5 linked regions of the Daphnia pulex genome follow. The protein of the gene in region 4 purifies or fractionates together with the protein of the main gene of each other region. This does not show direct contact. Links are inferred from orthologs where the notes say so. Each region holds a gene or a part of one and is shown on either strand. Other genes may lie near its edges.

Region 1 (5,784 bases), about 930 kb from region 4:
CCAAACAAAAGAAGTTCTGGTGCTGTAAACTAAGGATGTGTATAATTGCTTACCGACAACACGAGGACGTTGTTTTTCCCATAAAGTAGAACAACTTTGTTGTTTTGATGAAGAGATTCCACATAATTCTTGGCGGTAGAGTTAACGTAACAATTTCTGCTCCCCATAGAACTAATCGATTCGCCATCACTGCTGCTACCTCCAGGTAAAAGTTTTCGGTACTGCAATCACAAAAAAAAAGTTTGAATGCAGTAGTAATGAATATCTTATAATCTGGATCAGTTTTAGCATTTTTAAATGAGAAAAGGTTCGCAATGTATATCATGATTCATTCGAATGAAACGTGCTGGGCTACTAGCAGAACTCAGAATGGGATGTAAATAAAGCGCTTGGAGCGTTACTTAAGCCCCTACCGGTAGAGGCTAGAACTAAAGACTAAATTAGCTGCTCAAATGACATAATTAACATTTGGATACCATTAACAATAAATAATAGAGAATACGATGTAACTTACATGAAGTCCTGGACGTCGATTAGCTGGAGAGGTTACGCCTGACGATACGTAACTAGAAATACGATGCCTCTGAACAAGTTCGTCGGCAGGTGGGTCCGTCCAATAATGATCCTTGGTTTTTAATTTGGTAAACTCAAGAGCACATGGACCAGCTATAAAGAGAATAGATTGTTTAAAAAATAAGATACGGAATTTCTAACTATACACAATTAATACGATTTGACCAAGTATTTTGTTTTAAATATTGAAAGATAAACATCGCATTTGTTCGCAACATTTTGGGGAAACGTACTCGTTCTCCTTTTAAAAATATACATGGAAAACATATAGACCTACAATGTTCATTTTTCAACTCACCGAGAAGATGACCTAAAAGGGAGCCGTATTCAGGATCTGCGACAAGGGCGTCGTTTTCATAATATTTCCTATGGTTCAATTTACTATAATTAATAATCAATAAATGGAATCAAATAAAAAACCACTTACAAATGATTCTCAACGATATGCTCAATAATCCCTGCCAAAATGCGTTCAAAAAGTGCTAATCGGATCCAAAGATATTTTTGTGTACTGGTTCCTTTAGATAACCACGAACCCGAATTTCTTTTCTGCAAAATGGGCTTGATACCGCTTCCTCCCGTTCCTCCGCACGAAAGCATTCTGGTGATGCTATCTCCGCTTGAAGACGATCTTCTGTGCATAAAAAAAAAAAAAACAAGAACAAACAACAATGTACATAAGATACGACTTCAATTTAAATCCGAGTAGCCTATAATCTGCCTATAATCTATGAACAATTAAACTTCAAAGGTGACAACAAAATTTGCACATACTTTACTCCTTCAGAAGAATCGGCTTCTGTAATGAGCTTTGAAATTACTGCAGCAGGTGGGTATATTTTGGCAACTTTATGCATCAAAGCCGTGGTTGACGATGAACGAAAGAGCCCCAGCGCTCGCCGCCGAAGTCCATGAGACAAGCACCCCTCTACGGCGGCTGCCAAATAAATTTTGTAACGTAAAATATTAGATCTAAAAATCATACCAGTGTATAAAATATCACGTCCCAACAAATATTTGCACAACACTGAATTCATTCAGATTAATCGAAAATTTTAGCAAAATAACAATTAATAAAAGTAAGAGACTTCCGGTCGAATGATTTTTTAAAATGGATAAATAAGCGATAATCGCAAAAATATGGAATCAGCGATCAAATGTGTAGCAACATTCTTTACACATGCATTACTTTGATCAAATTTTATGAGCTTACCACAAAGGGATGTGACGGAGCTGCTGTCTTGGTGCACAAACTTGCGTGTCACTGCCTCTTCCATGATTTGTTTTACCTATGTGAAGAACACAGTTAATATTTTATATATTGACTAGTAACTAGTAATATTCAGTTGGTAACTAGAAAGGGGGCGGAGATGCTTTTGTCAAGGACTTTCATAAATTTTTACCCAGTTACCTTTTCATTTGGTTTAACTTGCCTTTTTCGTCACATTGTTTTTTCGTTTCCTTTTTTGTTTTTCCTGTTGCTATTTCCCCCTAGTTTCTACGAAAAAAGTACCAGAGTGCGGACCCCATGACCAATTGACCATTTCAAAACGCCGTGCGCAAGCGTGATGTCGACGGCCGGTACTTACTTGATTAATTTCAATATGTATTTAAGAAAAAACCGCTAACCTTCTTAGCCACGGTCTTTTGAAAAGAAAAAAAAAACTTACAACTTTGGCTGAAATTTTTTCGAATAGAAAATTATCGACTAAAAAAAAGATAATCACAGGCTCGCAGCCCAGGAGTGAAAATGCTGCAAATCATTCCCTATAAAGTATAAAGACAAATGTGGGTTGGATCGATTGCATCTACTCGTTTGACAGTGTTGCCGCTGTGATAAAATACCGTATTTACGATGTCTTAGCAAAATATCAGAACCTTATCCTATTACCCAATAAATCGACGACGAGCTGTTTATTTATGATTTATCTCATCTTACTACGAAATTAATCCAATGAAGAAGAAAATGATGTTGCGACGTTAAAAATATGGCTTTCAATTTATGGGGCGTAACACCTATAGTTCAGTTAGCGATCGATACGTAAGTAAGGCTGTATTTGTATACGTTTTAAAAAACCAAAATCCGGTGTATAGATTTTTAGTTTTTCGCATTAATCAAAAGATAAAATGCGAGTCCTTACCTCTTTTTTTACAGTTTTGATAAGACGTTCTTTGAACTCCTTGTCTGAAATAAAAAATTCTGTTAGTCATTCTCATGCAATAAATGTATGATATTGCTTCTAAAATTTAGAAAAGTATGTTTTACTATAGTGATCAGGTTATGTCTGACCGACTAGCTTCCATAACTTACCATTTGATGAGTGAGCCATCTTCATAACAGGTGGATAACTAGAAAAAAACAGCAATCGGCTTCCAAATGTGCATATAACGTTACAATTATTACGCCTTCAGATCAACACGACAACTTATAGCGGGGCGGCCAATTGGCAATTGCCAATCTACGAAGGGTTCAGTGTGTTGGAAGTCAAAAGTTTATGGTAAAATGGAGTAGTAGAAGTTCGGATTGTACATGAATACACTATCGTCTTCGGGCACTTGTTGTCGATGTCCGTCAAACTAAAAAACTGGTTGGTTCGACAGCCTGTGGGAAGCACAAAACCGCAGCATGAACGTATTCACAGAGCTCAACGTTTTACGTCACCTACGGGTAGCAATGCGCTTGCGCATGTCAAATGTTTTCAGTGTGTATAATTGAAACAGGAAATGGCCTACAAATATTTAAATCGTGTTGTGTCAACGTTATATTTGGATGTCATCGTGGGAGAATCAAACTCCACGAGATTATTTACAACTTGACTGCGCCAGCCATTTGAATGTTATCCAATGATCAATGCCCTATTTTTCAAATAAAAACTCAATAATTAATAGTCAACTTTTTTTTTGTAAACATTTACTTACTTTGCAGTATACCTTCATCGAAATAAAATTTTAGTTGAAAACATGGTTGAAAAAATTTCCGTGTAAATAGATGTGATAATATTGCCGAATCTAAAAAAAAAAGTGAAATTGGCAACCTTTATGACGTAGTTGAGTTTTGTATTGAATAGTGAATAGTCAGTCAGTGGCCTACTGAAAGTGCAGCAGCTGGGAATGAAATTAAACCAATGTTAAAGTTCACAGACTAGATGCTTTAACTTTGAATTATCCAATTGTAAACTAGTATTCTAATTTTCCATTCAACGTTTTTCGTGAGTGGTATTAGACACGTTAAAAAAAAGTTAAATAATATTGCTAGTGAATGTAATGAAATGCTTGTATTTTTAGGTTTTAATTAGAATGGCTGTAGATGAAGAACCCGACACTACTGCGAAAAATAGCGCAGGAGGTGACAACACAGAAAATAAAAGAAATGAAAGTAGAGGTGAAGAAGAAAGAGCCTTTGAATGCAACATATGTTTGGATACGGCAAAAGATGCAGTCATTAGTATGTGTGGACATCTTTTTTGGTACAAGTCTAAGGAATGTTTCCATGTTTTCAGAGATTGTGTTGTTTAATTTCCCTGTTTTATTACATGAAGCTGGCCGTGCTTGCATCAGTGGCTGGAAACAAGACCAAACAGGCAGTCATGCCCTGTCTGCAAAGCTGCTATAAGCAGAGATAAAGTTATACCATTATATGGACGTGGGGGCTCAAAAGAAGATCCAAGAGAGAAATTGCCTCCTAGACCTCAAGGTCAAAGGACAGAACCAGAAAATACAGGAGTAAATATTTATATAATTTCACTACATTTCATTGTGTAAATGATGAAGTTGGTAACACATATTGTGTACCCTTACGCAAGTGTAAAATAAGAATAATATTTTTTTATTAACCATGACCAAACATTTCAGACTACTGAATCATTTTCTTTTTCAAATTTACTTTTTCAGGCTTTCTCGAATTTTGGATTTGATGGGGGATTTCAAATGTCTTTTGGAATTGGAGCCTTTCCATTTGGATTATTTGCTTCCACTTTCAACTTTGGTGATCCTGTTATTAGAGGTGAAGATACATTAGAAATCAATCAACCTGGTTAATAATAGTAAAAATCTTGCATAGGTCACGGAGCCCATGGAACAAATCCTGCAAATTTGGAAGACGAACGCTTTTTGTCACAATTATTTTTGTGGGTTGCAATTCTTTTTATCTTTTGGTTATTGGTAGCTTAAACTTGTGGTTCTTGGTTCTTCTGTGTTGTAAATTTTTTATTCTAAAGATTCCCGGGGTTTATACTTTTAATGAAGTATTTCTCGAAAATTTCCTAGACAGTGGATTTATATATATGAAAATTAAAAGTGAAATGTTCAGAGATTGCAAGTCTTGTTAAATGAAATTTTTCCCTTATTAAATAGATCATTCGTGAATAACATTTAAACCATATTTTTTAAAATGTGTAGAAAGGACTAGACTATATATTAATTAAATTAGTTGATCAATTGGTTGTACAAGCTGGTCATCAAGATATTCTTGGGGAGTGAATAACAAAATGAAAATAATTACAGTATACATGAAGTAATCCTCAGAGGACACCTGAGAGAACCAAATATGGAAAAGGTAGGCTAATTAATTTTTCATTTCGATGATAAAATCAATAGAATGCGGGAAGCGCTAATAGGATTATACTTTTTGTAGAAAATGTATTTTTGAGTGATTGTACAAATAAATCATGAAACTACCGAAATTGATCCAAGTTCATGTCGGCCCACATTCCACCCATAGGATCGATGTCGACTTCTTCAATGGTTGGCTTGAAAACGATAGCTTTTAACATATGCATATATTTTGTTTTTCACTTTAAATTGAATTTACCTCTTCATCAGAATCAGGAAGATCATCAGCTTCCAAATCCAGATGATTTTCTAGTTTAGCTACCAATGCGTTTTCAAGCCTATTGATGGCCTCAATGGTTTTTACGTTATTCGGTTCAAGCCTAAAATTACAAAGAAAAAAATTAAACACATGCATAGTATGTGAATATGCAAGTTAAAGTAAAATCAAGTGATAAAGATTCTCGTACATTAGTGCAGAATTGTACTGTTCCAATGCTTTATCCATATCTCCATTTTTTATGAATAGGTCTCCCAAAATATGATGTAACCTGTTTGTAGGTTGCTGATTTATTTGCTTAGTAAGCAGTTCAATGGCTTTTGATCTCTGGCCAGCCTGAAAATAATTGTAGTCAATGGTAGTTCAGTGAGTGGTTCTGTAGG
Region 2 (6,665 bases), on a different chromosome or scaffold from region 4:
AGAAACGGCTGTCCGCGCAATTTCTTCTGCCATTTCATCTCGTCAAACATGTCGTCGACTCCTTCGAAGAAGGCGGCCACTTTCGATCCCTGGTCGTCGCGCTCCGCCGTGTGGAAGACGCGCACTTTCGTGTCGTTGGTCAAATACTCGCACATTTCCGGAATGGGGAAGACAATCTGCTCCATCGTCCGGTCGTGACGGACAATTTCGATTTGCGCCGTGTGATTGGCGTAGTACTGCAGGGCCGCATCACCACTGACTCCGTCCACTGGCGGCGGTTTCATCAGGGCGGCCAATTCTTTGTTGTGCTGCGCCAACTGGTGGCACAAAATGTAAATGTTGTGGCCGACTTCTTTGGGACTAGTCGCCTCTTCTCCACCGACCAAACTTTTCTGATAGGCTTAGCAGGCAACGTCCACTAATTGGTGAGGATTCATGTTGTACAGGATCCTTTCCGCGTTCTCGCTGTCGCCACGACTCTCCATGACGGCCAGCAACAACTTGGAGGCGTTGTTTTTCAACTCCAAAACAAGATCCATTCTCCGTTTTCCTAAATAATTGATCAAATAATTATTAGAATCAAATGGAATGAAAGGAAATTGTTACCTAATGGATTGATGTCGGTAAGAAGAAGAGCCGTGATGATGTCCAGTCCATTCGACTCGTGAGTGGCGATGCAGTTTTGGTTTTCGTGACAAGGTCCTTGGCAATATTCCGTCAATGTTTCCAGGGTTTGGTTGATGAGGGTGACGTTGTGCTCATTAATGTAGAGGCCGAGCAGACCCAGTTCGCCCGTCGTCGATCCGCAAATGCAGTCGAGGAACATGAGTGTCTCTGACACTAAATTGTAACTGTTTTTGTTGGACTGGGCCCGCAAAAAGTTCTGCAGGTCTCGATTGTGATTCTCACACAGCAACTGCAGGAAGCGGAAGACGGGCAGCATTACCAGAACCTTGGCGGACAACTTGGACTCCATGTCCGAATCAGTTGCCGTAGTTAACTTTAAGGGCGAATTAAATTTATTTTTGTAAGAATTTTAATAAAATCACGAATTCAAGTTTTGTTGTACCGATTTGGGTTGTTGTTGTTGTCTCACCAAGTCCTCCAGCGTCGAGTTGACACTACTCAACGTCGTTGTAGTCGAATCATCCAGCCTGGAGCTGGATACTACAAGTGGAGGACAATCTTGGTTCCTCTACCCATGGGTTCTCTGTGATCAGGCTTGATGGTGAAAGAACCACCAGCTGAAGATTCCCAAACATACTGCTCATCATCATTGTGCTAGGAATGAACTGTCACCTTGTCGGCAACCAGGTAAGCAGAGTAGGAACCCACACCAAACTGACCAATCATGGAGATGTCAGCTCCGGCAGAGAGGGCTTCCACGAAAGCTTTAGTTCCAGACTTGGCAATAGTACCCAAGTTGTTAACCAAATCAGCCTTGATCATGCCGATACCACTAAAGAGAAACAGAACAGTCAAATTCGTGTTCAAATAGGAGGAACTAAATTTCTCAACTTACGTATCCATGAGAGTGAGTCATTCTTGTTGGGGACAATCTTGATTTTAAGATCCTTGCCGCTGTCCAACTTGCTTGGGTCAGTCAGGGATTCATAATGGATCTTGTCTAGGGCATCTGAGCAGTTGGAGATCAACTATAGAAGGTGTTGATAATCAAGCTCATAAGCTGAGCAATCTTGGCCTGGAATGTCAAAGTCTCAGCTTCATCTTCCATTTGAACTTCTCCAGGCATCTAAAAAGGGAAAGGAAAATATTTCAGTAAGAAATGTTTGTCAATTGTGGTAGATTGCACTCACAAATTGAAATTCTACATACTATCTATGGACTTGAGGCATACCAAAAAATGTGTAAATAACCAATTTGTTTGTCTAAACCAGTAGTAAAACTGGTAAAACTTACTTTGCATTTAAACGTAAACAAACAAACCCGACGCTTTTCTGTTCACGTTTGGTGGGGATCTACATGTATACAAGGCCGCCGGGCAGTCGTAAAAACTGCTACCAAATTCGCTTCTTGTTAGGCCTGCAAACTATAGCTTTTGGGTTGACACACATCAAGCCGGGAAAGTGAGCCCGTTCGACTTTGAATCGCTGTGTAAAAAATACAGCTATTAGTATATCTTCATGTGATCCATTTTGAAGACCTTTCTTTGTTTAATCTCTTTCATACAAAAATTTTCGTGATAAGAAACACATTTACGTAAATTTTGTATTAATGTTTAGTGTCGTTTTGAATTTGCAGTTTGAATTGCAGCGGTGGCGTTTCGAAACTGAGCCCCGTTTGACTTAGAATCGCTGTTTTAAAAAATGAATATAGTATATCTTCGTAAAATGTGATCCATTTTAAAGAGATTTCTTTGTTTAATCTAATGCCTACAAAAATTTGCGTGATTGGTGACACAATTACGTAAATTTAAGTGTCTAATTACTGCAATTGAATTTTGCAGTTTGAATTGCAGCGGTGGCGTGTCGAAACTGAGCCTCCTTCGACTGTGACTAGAATCCCTACGGGAAATTATTGGTTTTAATTTATACGTCCTTCGAATTTGGCGCGCTGGGAATTCGATATTCCGCGCATTGAATCCGCGCATCTTGTAACAGGTTCCCATCTCGTCACCTGACGACATTTTCACTTTGTGGTCGTTTCTTGTTTACAATGGGTTGTTATTGATAAACCCAATCTCGTGTAAATTATTTTTTTCCTGGATTTCCATTGCAGTATAACCGACGAATATACATTTCTCTTCCGCAATGGCCACGTACGTTTCACAGTACTCTACAACTGGATTCTGTATGTTGACATTTATATTAACGTTTCCAGTTTGAAAACCAAAGGTGGTCAGTAATAAAGCCATCGTCATTAAAAAAATGGAATGTTTTCTCTCCAACAGACCGAGCACCGGTATCAAAAGGGCTGATGGGAGCTTTGTTCATCACCTGCACAGCCATCCATGTCCCTCTACTGTCTCATCTACGGCTGTACCTCATATGTCAACTGCCAAACACTTTCACGTCTGGCGAGGTATTTCCATCATCTGCTCAAAAAGCCAGCATGTGTGAGGAAGGTGAAAGTTTTTTCATTACACAGTCTTTTGCTAACAGGTGTGGAGGTTGTTTACATCACAAACAGCCTTTCTCGAAACAAAAGATTTAATTTGTGCAGCATTGCTTATATACTACTTCAGGTAATTCCCCTTTTCTGCATATAATATAGAATGAGTGCCCAAACCAACCATCAACCATCTCTGCTTCGTTTTCTTAATTTTTATGTAGAGTGTTTGAAAGACGACTGGGCTCCAAGAAGTTTGCTTCCCACTTGCTTGCCACTAGTCTCATTTCGCTTGGGCTGCAAGTACCAATCATTTTGCTCATCAGATCCACAGGATGGGCCTCATATCACCATGGGCATCTCCCTCCTGGCCCGTAAGTCTCCTGCATCACTTTTCCTTTTTACAGACACATGCAAAAACATCAAATGTTAACCATTATTTTTCTCTCCCAAAAATAAAGATATGGATTGATCTTTCCACTCTTTGTACCGTACCTGTGCGATATCCCGAGAATGACTCGTACACATATCCTTGGGATACCCATCACAGGAAAAACACTGACATATTTAGTAGGTCTGCAAGTGTGCAGCACCTCTTTCCCGACGGCTGTCTCGGCATTTTGCAGCATTGTAAGTGAATTTCGTTTTCCTCTTGGTCGCTTTCATGACGCTCGAGGCGTGACAGACATATATACTTTTACTTGCACAGGCTGCTGGACTGTTGTACAGATGGAACGTGTTGAGGGTTCAAGACTGGCTGGCCATACCCGATTGGCTAGCCCGGATAACAGACATGACCTTTGGCCGATTATTATCCTCATCACCACCCGCCGACGGGCCGATGGGTGCCACGTTGGAAATTCAACGCCAGGAGCAAATGGAGAGGCTTGAACATCAAATGTTGCTCCAACGATCCCGGGACGGACCTCCTCGTCAGGCAAATGAATAATTGTTTTTTTGATATTCCTATATACCCACGCCGAGTCCTCAATTTCCTTACGTATAATACCTGAGACGTGATGTTTTTTGGCCCTATAGAACACGGGGCAAGGCTACGCCGAGCGTCTCGTCGGTCCCGAAATGCAGTGGGGCGAGCAAGGTGCCAACGGACACCCACGGCGCCGCCGAGATTTCCCCAATATCTTCAATCCGAACGGTAATCGAATTTTTTTCCGTTTTCAAGAATGTCTTACCTATTCAACGTCCGTGTTTTCGTTCGGAATTCTTTTTTATTTTATTTTGGGCGTTGACAGAAGTTCGACCGAACGACCCAACACCACCGTCCGAAGAGAACGTGACCTTCTTGACGAGTATGGGCTTTAGCCGTGACCGTGTCATGCGAGCCTTACAAACGACTGGAAACAACGTCGAAGCAGCCACCAATTTACTCTTACAGGAATAGTAAATCGGAGAAAAGAAATTAAAAAAACAACGTCAAAAAAATTAATTCATTATTATTATTTTTTTCAAGTAAACATGAATAATAATCTTACCCCAACCCCCCACCTCTTTATTACTTATTGTGTCGATGTAATTCTATTTTTTTCCGATTCCCAAATTGTGAGGATATCATTGTTTTCATTTTTATTATGATAAAAGAAGAACCATTTTGTCGTGATTCGTCAATTTTCTTTTTTGTTTTGTGAGTTTTTGAAAACTGTTTGTTTACAGGGTGGTAAAACACAGAAATATCAAAATGCAATTCTTCTCTTAAATTCATCTAATTTTTTCTCCTTTTTTTTCTTTTCTTTTTGTGTGTCTAGTCTTAAAAGAATGATTACGCGATATCAAACAATTTTCTTGTCTGGCATCGGGTGAGAAGTGGAACAGCGAAGAGTCAGCAGTTCAGTTCCGCCTCGACACCGATTCCAGCGACGAGGAAATGGTTTCAGATAAAGAAGAAGAAAAAGAAGAAAAAAGGAAGCCAGCATGAAAGAATGATGAGGAACAATTCGACACTTTCTTTCGACTCCCCTCTTCAATCACCGCAGTCTATAGTCTCTCTCTTATCTACATCGGGCGGTTGGGGAAAAAAAAATTGGCCGGCCACGGTGCGATCGTCGAAGAGACCCGACGTCTCAGTCTGTCGAGCGGCGGGACCAACGGCCACGGAATACACAAATGACGTCAACCGACCGAGACCGAGCCATCATCATCATCCCCGAAAAAAAGCTACGGCGAAGGCAATGAGGTAATCGCTGCTTTTTGTGTTGTCCCGTTAAACTATTGGCTGGGCCAGCCCGCCGTCTCAACGGGAGATCGTTTTTCACGCTCAACAAGTCAAGTCGACGACGACCGATCTTTCAAGATGCTGGCCGTCGACTCGCTTTCTTGTTGTAAGAAAAATGTATAGACAACCATTCTACTACTCATTTATTAGACCGGATAGACTTTTTTTTTGGACAAAACGGGCCGACCCGGAATGATTTCAATCCGGTACGCCGGATTTTCCGGTTATTATTCTAAGGCGTTCTATTCATTTCCTTTTTTTTTTATTCTAAAACAAAAAAAGAAAATCGATAAAAACCCCCCCAAAAAAAGAGGAGAAATAGAAAAAGAAGGCCATGCTTGGTTTAGTCATCAAGGATGACCAATAATTTTTTCGTTATTTAGGTTACCGGCACCCCGCAGTTCCGTGTATACCTAAATGACTTTGAAGAAAAAATATAAGAATTGAAATGAAAATAATAATAAAAGGATGTGACCACACAGCAAACACACACACGCACACAGCAATTGAGGAAGGGTTCTATTTAGACGTTTGAATATCATTTAACTCTCGTTATATGGTGTTTGTAATCTACTCTAAGCAATTTCGAAAAATTACCGCGTCGGTTTTTTTTATTAGCGGCTATTGTCACGTCCGACTGGCAGCAGCAGCCAAACATTAAACGATCAAATGGACTCGAATGTTTCTTTTCGTCTACAAGAGCGGTGAATCATCCCTTTTTTCAAGAAAGAAAGAAAATAAAAACCAACCAAAAAGAGAAAAGAGAGTGAAACTGGGTCAATTATAAATCGTGATATAACCAATGCAACTAAGAGAGGCGTCAAATACTCTAAGGAGAGACTGCGCGGAACGTGACCTTCTTGTGTTTCTCGTGCACGGGGGTTCATCTGCCAAAAAATGATCAAACTCCGTAGAAACCTGAAACATGTGTAATAATAATACGGGCGTCCAAAATGTTGAGATAGAGAGAAATTTTCGTTTTTTCATTCTAGATCGTGATATGCCTTCAACAACAAGAGGAGGAACAGAGTCTGTAGATAGACGCAGATGTATATACCTATACCCCGGTTGTCCTCAATTCCATCTGCTGCTGCTGCTGCTGCTGCAAAAAAGAACGAAACAATTTCTCTTCCATGTTTTTATTGCTATTATGCTCAGCAGTTGTGTTTGTTAGTTACCAACTTTTGTGGCTTGTTGCGCGTCTTTTACGCTTCAAATCACAATATGCACGTCGTCCCTCTATACTCTAGACGCTGTGGCTGCTGGAATATTATTATTATTACTACTCAAAAGTAGGTCAAATGAGTAGTCATTATCATTAGCACGGATCGTAGCATCTCGGTAGTTATCGCACACGGCGCCCTCT
Region 3 (6,355 bases), on a different chromosome or scaffold from region 4:
AAAAAGGGGAAATAACAAGCTCTTGAGACGATATCTTTTCACACCCTCTCCCTATCTTCGTTTTTCTGTCCAAACACCATTTGGATGTTCTTCTTCTTCTTCTTCTTCTGTGGCGATCCTGTGAGATTCTCTGACTCATCGGACCTCCTTTCACTTATTTGGTTGCTGCTTATTTGTTGAGTATAGTTTAGTGTGGTAGTAGTCGTAGTAGTCGGAGTCTGTGTGTGTGTGTGTTTCATTCCGCCATGTCAAGGTCGCTGGTCACTCGCCAGAAAAAAGAAGAAAAAACCCCAACAAAATTCCAGCGAGCGGTTCGCGTGCATATAGATACTACCAAAAGAGTTCTCTCTCTCTCTTTTTCATTTTCATTTTCATCTCTCTCTCTGTCTATCTGATTCTTTTTCGTCGTCTCACACAGAACCCTGATGCGCTTTTATAACGAAAGAAAAACCTGTCGACACGAGGTGGAAATTAAAGTAAGAGAGAGAGAGAGAGAGACGTAGAGGTATAGTTTCTCTCTCGCCTGGCTCAAGGTTTCTAAAATTGGCGAAGGCGGGCCACGTTACGAAGTGTGGCGAACGAGACACACAGCTGGACTGCCATCAGGAGACTGGAGATGGACAAGGCGACAATCTCCAGGATCTGGCTCAGGCTGAGTGCCACGATCAGGATGATTGTCACAAGTGGCAGCTGGACCAGGAGTGTGGTGAACCAGAAGGTGGACAGCTCTGCCACTTGCTCGCTCAGGTTGCCAGACATGCCCAAGTAGATCCTGGTGGCTTCCGTCACACAGCAGGCAGAGACTCCAATTCCAAGAAGGAGATACGAGAACCAGCCAAAACATTGGTGCTGCCAAATGTAGCAAGAGATGATGAGTGAAATGTAAGACAATGACTTTTTCTTCGTATTATGTAAATACCTTTGCCACAAATGATGCCAGGATGATCGCCAGCCACACTGGGTAGTAGACCAAGTTGAAGTATAGTGACATTTGCAGTACCAAACTTGATTGGACATCATAAACTTTGCTCCATAAAACAATCAAACGTTTAGCATAAAGTACGAGACGCAATAGATAGAACTTGAATGATTTGAGAAGAATTGAAGTTACCTATGTCACTTTGACCCGATACGAATGAGAAATCTTGAGGTATATCCGACAGACCTGGAAATATTCTATCGCTGAAAGAATCCACAACATTTTGAACTGATTGTCTTCCCATTATTTCATCGCTTTCGACGATGGCTTTTGGCTATGAACGAAATGACAGCCGATTGTTTTGGGCATTTCAAACTGGGCGCCATGGCAACGACTCTAGCAGAACAACTCAGCTGTTTTCATTCGTGACTTTCTCCCGTCACAGTATTACATGTGCTGTGTGGTACACGTACAAACTTGTTTTGTGAATAAAATACTTGGCGATTATATTAGAGCAAGTAAGCTGTGAAAAAACTTGTAGGATCGATGGCTGGAAAATTATTTTTCATCTTTCTTGTCCAGGTTTCACAATCCAAACATGGGAAACTGGCAACTGGAAGCAGCCAAAATGGGGATGTACATGATTTTCCCAGTTGGTTGTTTCTATTACTTTAACCAGGCAGAGTATTTTGAAGATTGGATGATCAATCTGAGGAGAGAAATGTACCCTGCCGAAAGCAGGGTGAACAAAAAGATGTTTGAGGACACCATTCGCCAAATGAAGGAGAAAGAGGAACGGGAATATCTCAGACTACTTGAGGAGAAGGAAAGAAAAAATAATGCCTAAGTTGTCTGTTTCTTAATTAGATTTATGTATACAAGAGTCAATTTCAACTAAATTTATTTGATTTCTTTCGTCATCGTGCAGGTTTGATTTCTACTTATCTCTTCAATTCTAGACTATAACATTCCCAACTCCAGTATCTGCTTCCACTATCTGGTGGACTAAACATCTTTAAGCAGTTCAAAAGATCCTTGAAGAAACAAAACAAAATTGAGGACTGCGTGTGTGATCAGGGCAGTGAACTCGCTGTAGCATAAGCCTTTCCCAATGCAGCATCATCTCTGTAGCAGGTCAGGATTAGAAAATCAAATGACTCCAAACAAATAGCAAGTCTTGTTAGTTTGACAGATTTGCGACCTTCAAGTTGTGTATTTGGAAATCTTTGGCGCATTCACTACAAACAAGGCGTCGTAATGCAATCGAGTTTTTTGGACATTTATGCTTCAGATGGGAATGTATCATTTTCAAGGTTGACAACTGCTCCTTCCTATTTGTTGGCTTGAAACAAAATCGCTGTGCGCTCGGTGCAAACTTGGACGTTCAAAGAACCTTTTCACTAGAATTCGCAATCGGTTATCTCAGATTGACTTATGGTCGGTCCGCCTCCCCTTCATCTCTGAGCTAGCGAAAAAGGGAATAGTCTTGTTTATTCACATCAATAGAATATTAATTCATTATCTAGTGCGCTCCGATTTTGATTGTGTGTTCCCAAAATGTTCGAGTTGGATGGGCGAAGAACTGCACTATGGACACTACGAGTACGGTTGATTGCGTGTAAACTTGACACGGTTAAAAGATGGCCATAAAAGGAGAAAGGGGAAAGCGCTGGATATTTGTAAACGTTGCAACAAAGCAGTATGTCAATGCTAGTCGGTCATTGGTAAGCGAAAGAAAACCGGGCCACTGTGTAGAAGGAATAATGAGGGCGAACATCGACAACTGTATATTAAACAAATTTCCATGTATTTTCTTTTGCCATTTAGTAATTTTTCAAAAAGACGATTGTGTTTGTTTCTCTTTTTTTTCTTTCTTTTCCTCACTGATTTTCGTTTTCTCTCGGCTGGTCGGCGACTGCGTCTGCCACTCCCGGAGCACCAGCACCGCCCCAATCGAAACCCCCAGGACGCTCGTCAGGAGCCGGATTGTAAAGAGGGTCTTCAGTGTGCGTGTCGAACAAAAGTTTCCTAGGGGGGGAAAAGAAAAGAAACCGTGAACCCCTTGACCGATCTTTGATGTTTTTCTTTTCGAGAATGCCAAATTGTTGCATACAGTAAACGAGGCGTGGCCAAGAGTCTTCTGCCTCCAGGCTGATTAGGAAACACATCTTCCAGGAAGAAATACAAGTGACCGATGGCGATCCCGAGAATGTCCACCAATACGCTATTGCCTAAAAGAACTGAAAAAGCCACGAGAACCCAAGGCAAATATGGGGCCTATAAAAATGTCAGGATAGAGAAAAAAATTATCGGTTAATTTTCGCACAGGGTGTTTTGAATTTTGCAGTTGCTTTGTCCTATTTACTCGAAAAGGTAGAAGGCCGAAGAAATTCATCCTAACGTAAGGATTTCTCCGAGCCCAAATATAGACGAACATCGTGGTGAGCGAATGTCCAAGGAACAATAAATTTACAAACCAAGCACATATCTAAAAACATGAGAAAAGCAAATAGTTAAAAAAACTTGAAACAGGAATTCATGCAAATTTTCATAATTACCACTGTTGTGATGCAGCCAAATATGAACATGTAAACAAAATCAGCTGTTCTACCTCTGAATGAACCCTCCTCCAACATTCTACAATAGCGATAGGTAAAAATCATGTTGAACAGAAAATTGAAGCTGAATGTCCCAAAAAAGAAGAATGGAGTCAGTAGCCTCCATATCTGCAAATACAAGATTACATGATTTGGCTACCATACAAAAGCAAACCAATCCTATTACCTCAAACTTTTGAGTGATGAGCAAAGGATTGAAATACAGTTGAAAAGGTGACACCACATCCAGTTGCTGAAAAGGAAATGTTTTGCAGTCGATTACTGAGTCCCTTTCAAAGTTTCGAGTGTTACTTACCACTGCAATTGAAGTGAGCAAGCAAACAGTGGTGTATGCCCGAGTTACTGGAGGCATCAACATATACTCTTGGCGTAATGTGTGGTAAGCCATGGTGCTTTCTTGTAATTGATTTCATCAACAGTCAACTAAGATGATGTTTTATCACTTAAATTGTATACTGTTATTGTATACAAAGGACTATGACCAGCTCAAACACGAACCTCAAATAAGAAAAACAATTTATGAATACCTAGAAATACAATCAAGAAACGATTTATCCAAAAATGTAAGGATTTCGCGAAACACTACCAACCATCGTTTTTCCCAAGAGTCAAATTGGTTTGTTTATTTTTTCTTTTAACAAACCCCCCTTGGTCGACGTGGACAATTTGTAGAGGCTACAGCAGAAACGGAAATGTCAAAAAAAGGGAATTCCAAAGATCAATTTTTGGTTGCTATTGCAACGGTGTAAATGGCGCCTCTTTTGATGTAGCAGACAACTTTTTGATTATTATTCCATCCAAGATTCGAGTGATTTGAACCGTTGGAACCTCAGTTTATTTTGACTAAATTGAATTTGTTGACGTAACCCCTAGTTTTTATTTTTCATTTCGGGTCTTGGCGATAAATCATCCATCTTCTACTTTATTTATTATTGGGAGGGAGATGATGAAACTGGAAGTAGGTGCATTCAGTGCAGTCTTGCAGATAAAACAAAAACACATGGTCGAGTGTCGTAGTTCGTATATTTGGTTTGAAAAATGGTTGGCTACAATTTCCACGGTTATTGACTTTTGTGAAACTCTAAATTCTTCTTAATGTGAAAGGATATATGCAACTTGAGTAACAGTTCATGCTGGGATAGGTGATTGAGCAACCATCTTCACATCACAAAACAAGTATTTTACTCTTACATAATTATTCGATGAGTGTGTTTTCTTTTTACTATAGCCTGGTACATGTTGACCGACCACAATTCATGTATCAATTTCTAGGAACAGATTAGGTAATAAAGAATACAAAGAAAGGAATTGGCTCTCTCATAAGATAGAAAATTACATAGCAGTAGCTTTCATTATTTTATCTGTAAATTCTACTACAGCTAGTAAGTTGTGTAATGATTTGAGATGCTGAAAGGCTTTTTTGTTTCTGGCAGAGCCATTAATGTATACTGGAACAAGGCCAGCAAGATGCATACCTTCTGTAATTCTATTTTTGGGATACCCTCATTTCTCCCTCTAACTCTTCCAAAGGCCACTTTTATTGAGTCTCTAGTACACTTCCCGTTATACCACGTCGTCTCTCCCCCAATGCAAAAATTCACTACACAACTGTTGCGTTTTGCAGTAAAATCTTGAATTGTTTTTACTTTTATAGGAGCACGAAATCTAGACGAGAGAGGTACGCCAATCAACGGTCGTTGCTACCAAAAACTCTAGTGCAAGAAATTGAGTAAAGGAAACTGGGCAGACATTACTCTCTTGCCTCATCATCGCCGTGACTACTAGAAGACAATCTAGTGTCTCGTTTGACGACCAAAAGATCACGTGACAGATGTGTATCATTTTCAACCATATCGTCGCGACGCTGAACATCCGCCGCACGTGCGCAGTCATATAGAGTGAGGAACATCGGCTGCAGTCGCACCTACGCCTGGCTCTCCAATCGGTTTTTGCTGTCTGACTAGACTGGCCGAGTGATAAGTTATAGCGACGCCGTCAAACGTAAGATATCGTCGTCGTAGCCTTTTGTTATTATCCCTATATTTCGGTTTTACCTTTTCAGTTGACCTTGTGACAATTTATCACTTTGGCTTGTCCAGTTTTTTGTTTACAGATGAACGTGAATATCGGTGGCGTCATCTCTGTGGCTTTCTTCTACTGTTTGATCCTGGCCGTTGGAATTTGGGTAGGATGGAAGGAAAAGAGGAAATTTAAACAGCTACAGCGGATGGAAAGCGGTGCTAACCTGTCGGAGAACATAATGCTGGCCGGACGTGATATGGGATTGTTCGTCGGAGTCCTGACGATGACGGGTAACGATGAGTGTTGTCCCGATTCAGTATACAAGAGGGGTAGATTTGGTTTCCAACAAGCAGGTTTAAACAACAACAACTACGACAGCGACGTGGGTAGCAGGAGGTTACATCAACGGCACCTGTGAAAGCGCCTTCACTGGTGGCTTTCTAAAATGCTCTACAATGGCGATCGGATATTCCATGAGCCTCTTACTTGGTGTGTGTGTGTTTGCCTCATTAGTGTGTCTATAGTAAATCATGTTTCATCATTTTTATTCTTTGGATAAAAAGGTGGAATGTTTTTCGCTAAACCCATGCGAATGGCCCACGGAGGTCGAGGATATGTTACCATGCTCGATCCCTTCCAGGAAAAATACGGCTCACGTATTGGTGGGCTATTGTTTTTGCCGGCCCTGTGCGGGGAGATATTCTGGTCCGCTGCTATCCTGTCGGCCCTTGGTGACGCATTAGAAAAACTTTTTTAAATGTTGGCTGTCAAAATGTTTTAATTTTAGCATTATGCA
Region 4 (6,543 bases):
ATGTGGGCAATGGAGTCATTAAATTTGATCGGCGAATAATGGACATTCAAATTGAAGCCATCGATGATGATAAGACGAATAGCTATTCAATGATACGATTGAAATTAATAGGACAAGCATTTCTCTGGCATCAAGTCAGGTGTATTGTTGCCATACTTTTTCTTATTGGACAAGGTAAAGAAGAAACGACAATTATCCAAGAATTACTTGACGTTGAACGCAATCCTAGGTAACAGTAACTCGACTCAAATTGTTTGTTTTTTTTTTAAATACTTTTTAAAATATTATTTTATCCAATCATAGGAAACCTCAGTATGGGATGGCGTCTGAAATTCCACTTAATTTGTTCACTTGTACTTATTCCGATGATGACTGTCAATGGATTTACGATGCGGAATCTCTTCGATATGTGATAAGCGGTTATCAGACGCTTTGGGCCGAAAATAGCATTAAGTAAGCAATAAAAGAAACGAATTTTTTGTGAAATCTTATTAATGTTTATTATTGTAGGGCGACGATGATTAAAGAAATGTTGAACAGCCTAGAAGGTTTGCTTGATGACAAAATTGAAAGTCAGTTAAAAGGTCTGGTATATGGAGTTGAACCGAAAACGTATCTGCCGTTAATGGAAAGGCAAAAATGCGGTATTGAATTCACTTGACGTGGTATTAAAATGCCTTAACTTATCACTTCTGTTTTAAAATATACATATTGCAGAAAGTTTGGAAGAGCGTATCCACGTATACGCCAAGCGCCAACGAATAGAAGTAATTGAAACTGACGCCAATTGCCCTTGATGCCTGATCATGTGTTAAAACTGCAATTGTGAATAAAACTTCTGTACCAAGGATCATGCTTTATTTAATTTGAATTTTTAGGGGTTTAAATTGTTGCCATAGCCATATTATACTCGCATAAAACGCTACTTTTGAAAGAAAATCACCTATTCTTGTTCAAGATATTAAGGGAAAGATTTATTAATCTCAGAAGAAAAAAAATGTCACACATTTCCGATTTCGTCCTCTACATGTTTGGTAATCAAATGTTACTATTGATTGCGCATTCACTTCGTCGGTAGTGAATCAGTAAAATCACGTTTGTAGGCCCTGTTTGACAGTGAACGTCTGTGTGATGGGACTAGCTTGCGGCATAGAGAGGGTTTTCTTCCACGCCCAGTCGAGCGAAGCGGTATTTCGTAATTATTAAAAAGGCACTATCTTTCTACTCATAATTTACCTTGCCAATATACAAACAGGTTTTTTGAATTATGAGATGCACTAATGCATAATTTACGCACTTTAGGATCAATAACAAATTAGAATCACACGTGTATAGCAAGAAAATCAACTTTCAATGATAGTGGAATTGTTTTCGAGTGCTTGTCTCTGAAGAAAGCGATTTCGAGCTTCCGCGATTAATTCATGCTTACGACATTGAAGAATGTGTTGTCTTTCTTGCGGATCATCAACAAAGAGCTTCTCTGGTTCCTGGGAAACATCAAATTGGTTTTCTTGCCTGGCGAATGTTGGCAACGTAGATAGACTAGGCTCTTGTTGAAAGCTGGGAAGTGTGGGCAGAAGACGACCCTCTAATATATTCTCAACTGTTAAGTCTACTGAGCGAGTTTGCCGTAGATCTTCAACGATAACAGAAAACGAATAATCGGGAAACAATTGAAGTACCTACAACGATAAACATTTAAATTGTTGAACAAGAATTAGTAGAATTTTATGATAGATTTCGTCACACCTGATCAGCTAAAGCTTCCAATTGAGAGTTTTCTGCAGCTGCTACTACCGGAGTATCAGTGTTTTGTTGAAACAGTCGACTCCAGCCCGTCCACGATATAAAACTTGCAGTTTCCCGGGGACGTGAAGACGAAGCAGTTTCTTTCGATCCATCTTCTAAAAGTTGGCGTCGACACGTAGGGCACGTAGGATCCTGTTCCAACCAGTGCAACAGACAACCTATACAAGTATAGATAGATGAAGGATTGCCTCATTAATTGTTATGAATCAATACCATGATGAAAATGATGACCACACGGCAACCGTCTGGCTACAGCTGCTGCTTCCCAGCAAATGGCACATTTGTTATCCTCCCATTCAGATTCGAGTTCGAAATGGAGTGTTTCCAAGGGACAGCACTATTATAACAGAATAAATTACTAAATGATTAAAACTAGAGACTTGGCAGAAGAAGGGGAGATTAAGATATTTTAGATCGACTCGAGTACAAACCAATTCCACCAATTTCAGCAACCGTTTGTAGTTCCCGTGTCGCCGGAGACGTCCACACAGCTGTTCGTAGAGCACTCGCAGTTGCATGAAAATGACCAAAGATGCCATAGAGAGCAGCATATTCGCTCGCAGAAGCATGTGAATCTAAACGAAAAGAGACAAAAAAGGGGTTACCGAAATTCAGTCGCATTGCAGAAAGCAATTTCGTCTCACATGATGTGCCAAATCCACAACGAGGCATGAAATCTCCACCGCCAATTCCACGTAGTACGACGAAGGACTCCACCCTATGATCCAACAATCGTCAGATGTTTGAGCACATCGAGAGTCTCTGTTGCGAATGCGCAACTCAAGTAACCTTGAGAGATCTGATGGATGGGCGGATGACAAGACTGCAGGTAGAGGATGTATCTAAAGATAACGTGGGTGGTACGTAAAGCCAAGAGAAGACATTCCGGGGCGACCAAGGCAAATGTAATCCATCCAGCGCGTTGTCCAACGGCGAGGCAAATCAAAAATAATAATCCCGATGCCACCAGAATCGATCCCAGCAGGGTAAGCAAGCGGATGTGTCGATTTCGAGGGGTACATGGAGTCATAGATAACTATAATTTCGCCAAACATAAGATAAATTACAATACCTGTTTGAGCTTTTAAAAAAGAAAGATAAAATCCAATTACATATTCAAATCTGTCTTGGCAAAGTTGAGCATGAATGTGTAGAAAGCCAATAACAGAAAACCAGGACCCCCATAATATAACACCTTCCATACTTTGAACATTTTTAATGCCAAATATAAAAATAAATTTGTAAAACACAAAATTCCAAAACTTGTCTTTGATGTGCTGTAGTTCAGAAACTCTTAGTTCCCCAAACACCTGCTTCTGCAGCCAATTTCCAAATAATACAAGGAGGCAGTAAGCCATGTTCACAACAATCTGTAAAGGATAGAAGATAAAAAAGGATTAAAGTGTTGGATATTGACTAATAATATAGGATGGCCATGTTCTAACCCAAATGCAGAGACTGTCATGGATAGAAAATGACACAATATCTTGAGCTCTGGAGCTGAGCCAGTAACGAGACAGGATGTTTGAAATAAATGCTTGCAAGGAGTTGGGAATCTCTTGGCTGCTATTCGTTTTAACAAATTGCATCCTCCATTCAGGGTTTTGTGTTTTTTCTGCAGCGTAGTGAAGAGACAAACCCAAAAGAGAAACACTGACTACCGCGTAAGCTTCCAAACTCGGGAGAGGTAGTCTCTCAAGTAGTAAGACAGGCATGTTGTTGTTGTTGACACAGAAAAATTGGGTTCACAAGACGACAAAACTACTAACAAATCTGGGGTGAAAATTGCATTTGAAAACATCAGCAGAAATAACTAGGATTAGCTAGCACAGCAATTCAAGGCAATTTCATCTTGATAACACTGCGTTATCTAACGACCATTTCGATAACAAGTGCCTTGTCAAATGATTCAATAATCCGAAAATGTGTCAAAACTCTGATAAGGCGGGTAAGGCTAAACAGCATCTAGTACACGTAAACACTGCAAACGGAATGAAAAAAAATTACTGACGTTTTGGGCGTCAACCTCAAAAAGTTCCAGCAAACTATTTTCTAGCAAGGTCAAAAATATGCAAAAATTACAAGGCAGATTTCGTCTCGCTATCCCCAGGGGAAAAAATGTATTCAATGTCAACTTTGCATACATGTTCTCAAATGTAGATGTAGACTGAATTGCGCTCTCGGAGACTCGGACAGTCAAGCTAATAAATATTCAATTATTCATTACGCATGTGATGCTGGGACTGGGCTGAATCTGTTTTTAGATCGACGAATACTGGTTTGTTATTAAAAATGAAAAAGATACGTCACAAGTCTGAGTAGATTTTATTGTTTTTACTCAGAAACAACTTCAATAAGATCCCTTAATAATTTTCTGAGATATATTCGCTAAATATTCCGCAACATTCTCCCGCACCAAAAATGCTCAGTTTTATGGCACTGCCCTAAGACACGCATAAGAGTACTCAATTACGCTAATCTAAATTGCACTCCCGAATCAACCTTGAAAAGAAAATGTATTCACTATTATTATTTCTGCTTTGATGGCAACGCGTGATGGAAGACAGAAAAAAGGGAGAAACATCAGAAATAAAACGTTGTCTAGCTGCATGTCTAGCCGATTTTATCGTCTTGTTGGGCGGTTATGAAAAAAGTAGCGTGTCATTTCGTACCAGATGGGGACCGGAAGAAGGTGTCCTTGCACACACACGGCACTGTTATAACGCCTGATTTGCGTCCTCAACATTCGTTACAATAGGGCGTCAGCTCTGCAAAGTAACTGAACCGTTAAATTCTGTAAATGTTCACATTCGAGACAATTTGAATCCACTACATACCAAAGTCTTATCGCGTACCTCCTGATGGTCACGACAGGTCAAGGTTTCCATTTGAAATTTGCGCCCTGTTTCGCTTTTATCCGATGTAGTGGTAATCCTTCAATATAAATAAATGAAGCAACAATAACTTTGCGAAAACAAGGGATGGCTAAGTAATTGAAGTGACTTTTGAAGTTCATTTCATTTTCTCTTTCTCTGCACTTTAAAGAGAATCTTTTTTTTTTTTTCATTTTGGCTCTATTCCAATTTCTTATACTGTAGCGTTTTACAACACGCATTTCACAAGCAGTTAACATTTATGTTTATCATGTTAGTGTTAAGTTGTTATTTGCGAGGTTATTTGGTTGAGCCAAATTTGGATTATTGGAATTCAACAAGATATGTTTGCGGAAAACGCCGCTATACAGCTCCCAGCATTAAATGGGTAATATAGCTTCAAAGCCGAATTCTGGCTATCATTCCAATTATTTTTCAGACGAATTAAGACCTATTCTTCGTAGACGACCTTCCAACCTGTCAAGTAAAGAAATATGGAATTCTTTTCTTTTGATTAAAATTCTATTTTATAAGTTGTATTTCTTAAAAGACTGTTTATTTATTATTCCATGAGCGAGAGCAGTCTAAATGTGTGCGTCCATTAAAAACGGGTTAGTTATTGGAGCAGGCCCGCGTCAGCAATTGTTCACGAGTCGGTTGCATGTGACTTTGAAGAAGCCATAAATTTCGTCGCGTTGGAGACGCGAAACAAGACCAAACGACAATCACGCTGGGGTTTTCCATATTAAAGAAACTTGTTCGTTTCCTTTAATTGGATGGATCACTCTTTCGTGTTATTATCAAACTTGTGCAAAACATTATCGTCGATTATTCTTCGTATTTAAGAAATTCCAATGCCCTTCGAAGGTAATTTTTTTAAATTATTATCCGGACTAATGATGATGACACGAGAAATAATTATCAAAATAAAGAAAATTCAACGAACTTCTTTTTTTTTTTCAAAAATAAAAGATGCATCTTTTTTAAAATACTGCAGCTTAGTCGAATACGTTGCGGCGTAGATGCCGACGCGAAGGCCAACACGTAAATATAGAATTCACCTTTAGGCCATTGAACAACCGATCTATTATTTTGAAATATTCCTATCCCTGGATGTTAAATTTCTTGATTCTTGGAAACGTTCACGTGATTCCAGTAAACGTGAACGCCAAAGGTCTGATCGCTTTTCAATTTACTGGCACTTTGTGATGGCAGCAGTGGGACGATCAGCGTCCGCTCGACTAACACCGCACGATCTCCACTTAAGAATGGCACTCAAATCGATGATGAACGGCTCGACGGATCAAAAAATAATACATCTTTGCAGGTTTAAAAAATATCAATTTAGAACTTTAGCTAGAAGTAGTACGTAATATGCCTGCACGCGTGACCGTGACCGAACTCTCACGTGGCATACTATGATTCAGTTAGGCCTTTTTTCCCCCCGCTGGATATTTAATATTGGCTTGGAAATTGGAATCCTCCTCTTGTCGGAAAAATCGAGTGTGGGCGTGTTCATGTCGACGTACCTAAATTAGTCCTTTCAACATCCCTCCCGAATGAAAAAAAAAAGGAAACGTGATCAACAAATTTTCTTCAATTTATTTTTTTTTAACACAAATTCATGTCAATGTCAAAGGCGATAAACGGGAAAGCGGAAGTTATAATGCCGTTAGCTTAATGTAGCTTCAACGACGGGCAAAGATGACTTTTCCACCTTTGAGGCAATTCAGTAGCCAGTTTTATATTTTCGGTTCTTATCGCTTCTTTCCGGGATGTTGGGATGAGCGCGTTGATTCGATATTGTCCAGAAGAGATGAAACTCTTTTTTTTTTTTTCTTCAAATGGTATTGGGCGCTGC
Region 5 (5,533 bases), on a different chromosome or scaffold from region 4:
TGGAATTAAAAAAAAGAACCGACCGTCTTTGATTGATAGTCCTTCTTTTGAGCTACCACCATCGGACGATGAATCCGTTACTCCAGTGGAAGTTCGCACGAAAGATCTAAAGAAGAATGAAAGGATTAAAATCAAAGTAAAAGAAAAGGACAGTGAAAAAACTAATCGACGCCAAACCAAAAGAAACCCACCTCCCAGCACCAGTGCAACACTTGCGCGTGCCTATTTCCCTAAGGTGGGTTTCTATCAATAAGGATATTCCTCCTACATTTGGCATTGCCTTCATTCATAAAATTCACAAATTCTTCTTTTACTTTTAAAATTACAGCTTGCTCGTTTCTGTGGATGGTTCTTCTTGTGGTAATATCCGTATTTATTTATATCTTGTTTGAATTTGATGTTAATTGACACCTCTCTTTTCATCAGGTTGTACAACTTGTGCGCTGACGTTATTCAGATGAGTTGCAATTTGATTTGGGTGGGACTTCAGCAATGCCGCACGGTTTTGTGGGAGAAAAGTTTCTTGGTCACTGAATGGATATCATTTCAGACACGGACTTGCCGTCAATATGTTACAACTAATTGGTTGCCGTCCATTCGTGAATTTTTCCGATTTTTTCAACGCAAATCAGCTGACGAAGGAAGCAGCACATTAGGTGGTTTAAATGCCAATATCCCTTTACCTGCTACCGGAGAAGAAGCTATGCATCGTTTATTGGCTTGCAAAGGAAGAGATCCATACAGCATCCTGGGTAATTGGATGTAGACTTCACATTTAATTGACATTTTCGCTATAGATTTTATTTCTCAGGTGTTCGACGAGATTGCTCCGACGAAGAGATTCGACGTTACTACAAGCGACAAGCTGTTTTAGTTCACCCAGATAAAAATCGACAACGGGGAGCTGAAGAGGCCTTCAAAATCTTAGCGCATGCCTTTGAATTGGTTGGTCAGCCAGAGCGACGCAGCCACTACGACCAATTAGTACAAGAAGCAGACGAGATGGAATCTGCTTGGGCCGAGCTCAACGAGCTACTCTCACGGTTGCATGCCAAAATGGACGAGGCCGCAAACACGATTCGGTGCACCAATTGTGCCAAGCGTCACAGAAGAGTGAAAACTAATCGGCCTTGCTATGCTGCTCGATATTGTCAGGTACATGTAAAGTGCGAAAATAAAAAATTTCCTTTTTTCATTCATTTTGTTTTTTAATAGGATTGCAAAATTCATCATTCCGCCCGCGAAGGGGACCTATGGGCTGAATCACGATACATGGGCTTTCGTTCTAAATACTACGCTTGCATGGAAGGTGCCGTTTATGATATCACAGAATGGGCAAATTGTCAGGTATTTTACTTCGTTTGTTCTATGTCTTGATTGTTGATTAAATTAGTATTAGGTCTTGTCTAAATGGAATAAATTTTTTAAATTTAGGCTGGACATCTTCGTCATTTGCAATCTAATTCTCATCGCGTTCAGTACCGTATAGTTCCCGGCCAAGGGCAACCGAGCAGTGGAGGTGGCCGTAAATCAAGTTGATTCTAATAAACGCCTTATTGTCTTCAAAATTATGACATTGATCATTTTTGTTGTTGTTGATTTCTATTGCTAAAGTGTCCTATCGGGTGATTTGTAACTAATACCTTTGGTGCCTTTTTTTTTCAAACAATTTTGCTTTGTCTGGTATTTGGAAATTTTCTTTTGTCGTAGAATCTCGTAACGAGGTCCCCCCCCCCCTCCCCAATGATTTGTTCCTTCCTTCCCAGTTTAATACACATGGTAACTTATCTGTGTTGCCATCAGATTAAGCATGTGTTGAGAATTTGTACAGTTTAATAAGGAAAGTTTTTGTCGACAACCCGGTATCATACGATTCCTTTGCGTGGTAAAATAGTTATTCTTCTTTTTTTCCCTTTAAAATTAATATGATTAGTTTTTATTCGACTCGTTGCAGGATGCATTTCGAATCTGGAATCTGTCTTCTACCACACATTTGCTTTCCTGCCTTTAGAAACACAAATTATGAGGAAAAACAGTCATACTCATAACGCTAATCGTTTTAAGGATTTTCTTTATCGTTGGTAGTGTATTAACTGTTTCGGTTCAACTGCGCCGAGCACTAAGGTCTTGGCGAATTAATTTTATTGAATAGAAATCAATAGTCCTATCATCATTCTAATTATACTAACCTTTTTTTTTTATTTTTATTTTATTCTTTTCCATTGGTGATTCATAGATGGCATTGGAGGGGATGACTGTGCGATTTGATTTTGGGTTTTGGCCTTGTTTTGTATTTATCCTCTAATGACACGTAAGTGTTCGTCTGCTTCGATTTGATCTTGACTTGAATTCGATTGAGATACACATTGTTCTTTGATACATTTCCTTTCAGATAATTTGGAAAAGTGGCTTGAAACCTTTTTAAAGATGAGTGAGCTAAGCAGCTGGTTCAAAAATTTGCCTATTTTCACAAGGCATTGGTTCGGACTAACTATTGCGTTGTCACTAGTTGGCAGATTTGCCATTTTGAGTCCAAAATATCTTATCTTGGATTACCATTCTATATTTGAATCATTCCATGTAATATGTTGTAGTTGAATATTTTAGAAAACATCATTCTTATTCTTAAATTGATTGTTCAATAGATATGGAGACCAGCAACAGCATTATTTTATTATCCAATAACACCAAAAACAGGATTTCACTTTCTCATCAACTTGTATTTCTTGTATAACTATTCTCTTCAACTTGAAACTGGACTGTTCAATGGGCGACAAGCTGACTACTTTTTCATGTTGCTATTCAACTGGATTTGCTGTGTCATAATTGGACTCCTAGCTGATTTTCCTGTAAGTATTTGGTTTCCTGATTCCGACTACATGTTGCTTCCTAAAAGACCTCATAATAACTACAATAACAATAATTTTTTTCTAGTATTTGATGGATCCAATGGTACTGAGTGTACTGTATGTTTGGTGTCAGCTAAATAAGGACACAATTGTCAATTTCTGGTTTGGAACACAGTTCAAGGCAATGTATCTTCCTTGGGTCTTGCTTGGATTTAACTTGATCATTGCTGGAGGGTAAAGAAACTGCAAATAATGTAATTTGTGATATACTAAATTCTTTTACTACAATAGTGGAGTCATGGAACTTGTTGGAATTGTCGTGGGACATTTATACTTTTTCCTCACGATGCAGTATCCTCAAGAATTTGGTGGTCCTTTGCTCTTAACTACTCCGCAATTCCTGTAACACGCCATTTTATTTATTTAACTTTAGCAAATATGTTAAATACTTCGTCTTTCAGATACAAATATTTTCCGAATCAACGAAGCGGAGTACAAGGATTCGGCGCGGCACCTCAACCTAGGGCTGAGTTTAGAGCAGCTGCACAGGATGCAGGTCCTCGACGCTATGACTGGGGACGTGGAAATGTTTTGGGTGGCCAAAACTAGCCTCACAATGGCCAAAATTAAACCCCGATTCTAATGTTTTGATGTGTTTATGTTAAAGAAACGATTATCGTCCCTCCTCCCATCAATTTCTGGAAAATGTATCCCTTTAATCTTAAGAGAAATTTAAATTTACTAAATTTGTCTCACTCTTTTATTCATATGTATTATTTGTACGCATGATTCCCAGATGGCTGGAATTTTGCAAAGAAAAACCTCGATTCATAGATTTCGCGATTTTCTTGTCTCACATACACGAGATTTCTTTTAGGTTGTTTTGGGGTTCAGGGTCTATAGGTTCTGCAGGAGATTTTACGTCGGTGAGATCTGTTTTCGTTTTCACTTTGGTCATGTTGCTGAGTGTGTCAACCAAATCGATAATCACATCATCTTCGCTTTGTAAGCTGGACTTCAAAGTCGCTTTCAACTTATCCAGAATCGTGAGTTCATCAGACCAGTTTTCGTCAAAATTTGTGCGGTCAGGAGAATCACGGTAAAATTTAAGGCAAGCTTCCTAATTTAGCAAAATGTTAAATAAAGATTGGTTGTAATGTCATTAGAGAACTAGTAAAGTTTGCCTTACCAATTTAGGGACTACGTCATCTTTGACGGTGGCGTCATACACAACGTTGTATTGCATGGCCATAGGACGTCCAAGTTCAAGTGGTCGAGATTCGGTAGGAGGAGACACCCAGTAGCACGTCAAGTGAGTGGTCGACGTTGATTGGCTAGGTTCCGCGTGATGGAACGGTGCTGAATAAAAAAGTAAAGTGAACAGGTAATGATAACATATAATAGTAAGGAATATTTCATTACATGAAATCATCGCTACGCAAGGTCGGTAACCTTGATCACCAGTTCCTTTGAGTTTTAATTGATACTCGAGTTGTGAATCAATATCTTGCACAGTTGGAGTGGGCGGTGATAAAGGGTGGCTATGATACCATCCTACCAAGCAAAGTCCAGCACTCTCTATTGATTGAGCGATTTTGATTTCGGTAGCTTGGCCTCGTTTATCATCAGTCGTAACTCGATTTAAACAAGGGAACGCTTGTTTAATCGTGAGTGCTAAAATGAATCACACAAATTATTGTGGGTATGTGTTTTCTAAACATATCAGTTAGCACTCACTGTTCGTGTTAATGTCCCATTGGCCTGCTAAATATCCAACAACTTCTGAACGCGTTAGAGAGCAATGAACGTCCATTACAACAAGAGCAGTCGTGTTTAACGATATTAGAAAAGGTTGAAGTTTCCCTATATTTGCGAACGATATGGCTTCAACTAACAAATTTGGATCCCTGGTAACGAAACGACAATAAGAAATAGAAACTAGAAACAAACTCCAAACTTAAAATAATTGTTTTGTCTACTTACTCGATACTTGTCCTGTTTCCTAGCGTTTCGTGCTTTATAATTTGTCGATCACCGACAGTTTGTTTCATACTCATTTGAATTACTGGTTCAGGTTCCAGCAGTACAGGCTCATTAGTGGACAAATTACAATCATCAGGAGTCGAGTTGTCGCTAACCTGTTCTAAACGTCGTTTACGCATCCATTGGTTTTTATATACATCCAAAGGCCTGCCACAATATCGTACCTACATCATTTAAAAATCTGAACTAAATTTACTGAACTTGATAACGAGAATTTAAACATATTTTATGCTTACTGATGACCAACCACAACCATATTTCTGTTCGGGATTAACAATTTTTTTGCAGCGCAAGGCCCACGCCGAGGGTGAACTAAAGACTTCTTGAACTTCAGCAGAAAAAATTTTTCCATCTGCCAGTAAGTCCCCATTAAATTTTTGTCCCTAAATAAATTCACATAGGGAATAGAAGTTTTAAACTTGGAAGATAAGAAATCTAAAAGAAATATCGTATAATGTTTACCATGTACTCTAGTGACATAGCACCTTCTTTTGGTTGAAGGATGTTATCTTCAAGTAACATTTGCAATGTGACTCCTCTACCAGTAAATCCACCAGCAGTTTTGGACTTTTTCTCATTCAGTTCTTCATCTTCATTGCCATCCATGTTATCCTGTAATTTTTGTCATAAAATTGTTATTC

The links.
Region 1: the proteins of E3 ubiquitin-protein ligase AMFR-like (region 4) and E3 ubiquitin-protein ligase RNF185-like purify together in Homo sapiens (affinity purification with mass spectrometry; 3 studies listed by BioGRID and IntAct, with this or other methods). This does not show direct contact. The link is inferred for Daphnia pulex from reciprocal best matches to the Homo sapiens genes AMFR and RNF185.
Region 2: the proteins of E3 ubiquitin-protein ligase AMFR-like (region 4) and ubiquitin-associated domain-containing protein 2-like purify together in Homo sapiens (affinity purification with western blotting; 4 studies listed by BioGRID and IntAct, with this or other methods). This does not show direct contact. The link is inferred for Daphnia pulex from reciprocal best matches to the Homo sapiens genes AMFR and UBAC2.
Region 3: the proteins of E3 ubiquitin-protein ligase AMFR-like (region 4) and derlin-2-like purify together in Homo sapiens (affinity purification with western blotting; 4 studies listed by BioGRID and IntAct, with this or other methods). This does not show direct contact. The link is inferred for Daphnia pulex from reciprocal best matches to the Homo sapiens genes AMFR and DERL2.
Region 5: the proteins of E3 ubiquitin-protein ligase AMFR-like (region 4) and derlin-1-like purify together in Homo sapiens (affinity purification with western blotting; 4 studies listed by BioGRID, with this or other methods). This does not show direct contact. The link is inferred for Daphnia pulex from reciprocal best matches to the Homo sapiens genes AMFR and DERL1.

Annotation. Positions count from the first base shown.
Region 1 is NC_060017.1:4,029,199-4,034,982, reverse strand, and holds E3 ubiquitin-protein ligase RNF185-like, read left to right. Parts: upstream 1-3,620; 5' UTR 3,621-3,745; exon of another isoform or gene 3,746-3,782; intron 3,783-3,858; 5' UTR 3,859-3,870; coding exon 3,871-4,040; intron 4,041-4,112; coding exon 4,113-4,296; intron 4,297-4,464; coding exon 4,465-4,576; intron 4,577-4,633; coding exon 4,634-4,743; 3' UTR 4,744-4,943; downstream 4,944-5,784. Other genes in the region: small G protein signaling modulator 1-like, read right to left, coding at 54-221, 515-666, 872-939, 1,001-1,207, 1,348-1,510, 1,787-1,862, 2,715-2,758, 2,885-2,909; anaphase-promoting complex subunit 7-like, read right to left, coding at 5,247-5,321, 5,384-5,504, 5,592-5,737. UniProt on the Homo sapiens protein: E3 ubiquitin-protein ligase that regulates selective mitochondrial autophagy by mediating 'Lys-63'-linked polyubiquitination of BNIP1.
Region 2 is NC_060027.1:3,138,823-3,145,487, forward strand, and holds ubiquitin-associated domain-containing protein 2-like, read left to right. Parts: upstream 1-2,612; 5' UTR 2,613-2,771; coding exon 2,772-2,811; intron 2,812-2,911; coding exon 2,912-3,042; intron 3,043-3,122; coding exon 3,123-3,205; intron 3,206-3,293; coding exon 3,294-3,443; intron 3,444-3,530; coding exon 3,531-3,699; intron 3,700-3,778; coding exon 3,779-4,006; intron 4,007-4,107; coding exon 4,108-4,225; intron 4,226-4,322; coding exon 4,323-4,471; 3' UTR 4,472-4,771; downstream 4,772-6,665. Other genes in the region: inositol 1,4,5-trisphosphate receptor-like, read right to left, coding at 1-284. UniProt on the Homo sapiens protein: Restricts trafficking of FAF2 from the endoplasmic reticulum to lipid droplets.
Region 3 is NC_060027.1:834,617-840,971, reverse strand, and holds derlin-2-like, read right to left. Parts: upstream 4,273-6,355; 5' UTR 4,128-4,272; intron 4,065-4,127; exon of another isoform or gene 4,036-4,064; 5' UTR 3,926-4,035; coding exon 3,833-3,925; intron 3,770-3,832; coding exon 3,704-3,769; intron 3,646-3,703; coding exon 3,478-3,645; intron 3,408-3,477; coding exon 3,285-3,407; intron 3,197-3,284; coding exon 3,033-3,196; intron 2,948-3,032; coding exon 2,800-2,947; 3' UTR 2,113-2,799; downstream 1-2,112. Other genes in the region: transmembrane protein 17B-like, read right to left, coding at 538-849, 920-1,023, 1,112-1,223; high-affinity choline transporter 1-like, read left to right, coding at 5,651-5,849, 5,938-6,048, 6,123-6,290.
Region 4 is NC_060017.1:3,097,097-3,103,639, forward strand, and holds E3 ubiquitin-protein ligase AMFR-like, read right to left. Parts: upstream 3,798-6,543; 5' UTR 3,525-3,797; coding exon 3,255-3,524; intron 3,180-3,254; coding exon 2,922-3,179; intron 2,846-2,921; coding exon 2,599-2,845; intron 2,528-2,598; coding exon 2,454-2,527; intron 2,385-2,453; coding exon 2,241-2,384; intron 2,147-2,240; coding exon 2,023-2,146; intron 1,968-2,022; coding exon 1,750-1,967; intron 1,683-1,749; coding exon 1,344-1,682; 3' UTR 1,316-1,343; downstream 1-1,315. Other genes in the region: tRNA pseudouridine(38/39) synthase-like, read left to right, coding at 1-229, 304-453, 511-644, 718-797. UniProt on the Homo sapiens protein: E3 ubiquitin-protein ligase that mediates the polyubiquitination of lysine and cysteine residues on target proteins, such as CD3D, CYP3A4, CFTR, INSIG1, SOAT2/ACAT2 and APOB for proteasomal degradation.
Region 5 is NC_060018.1:4,692,901-4,698,433, reverse strand, and holds derlin-1-like, read left to right. Parts: upstream 1-2,311; 5' UTR 2,312-2,427; coding exon 2,428-2,580; intron 2,581-2,645; coding exon 2,646-2,849; intron 2,850-2,934; coding exon 2,935-3,083; intron 3,084-3,140; coding exon 3,141-3,251; intron 3,252-3,310; coding exon 3,311-3,458; 3' UTR 3,459-3,599; downstream 3,600-5,533. Other genes in the region: dnaJ homolog dnj-5-like, read left to right, coding at 1-235, 329-360, 427-752, 812-1,155, 1,216-1,347, 1,435-1,539; MPN domain-containing protein-like, read right to left, coding at 3,703-3,969, 4,039-4,523, 4,587-4,756, 4,833-5,056, 5,129-5,275, 5,355-5,504. UniProt on the Homo sapiens protein: Functional component of endoplasmic reticulum-associated degradation (ERAD) for misfolded lumenal proteins. Forms homotetramers which encircle a large channel traversing the endoplasmic reticulum (ER) membrane.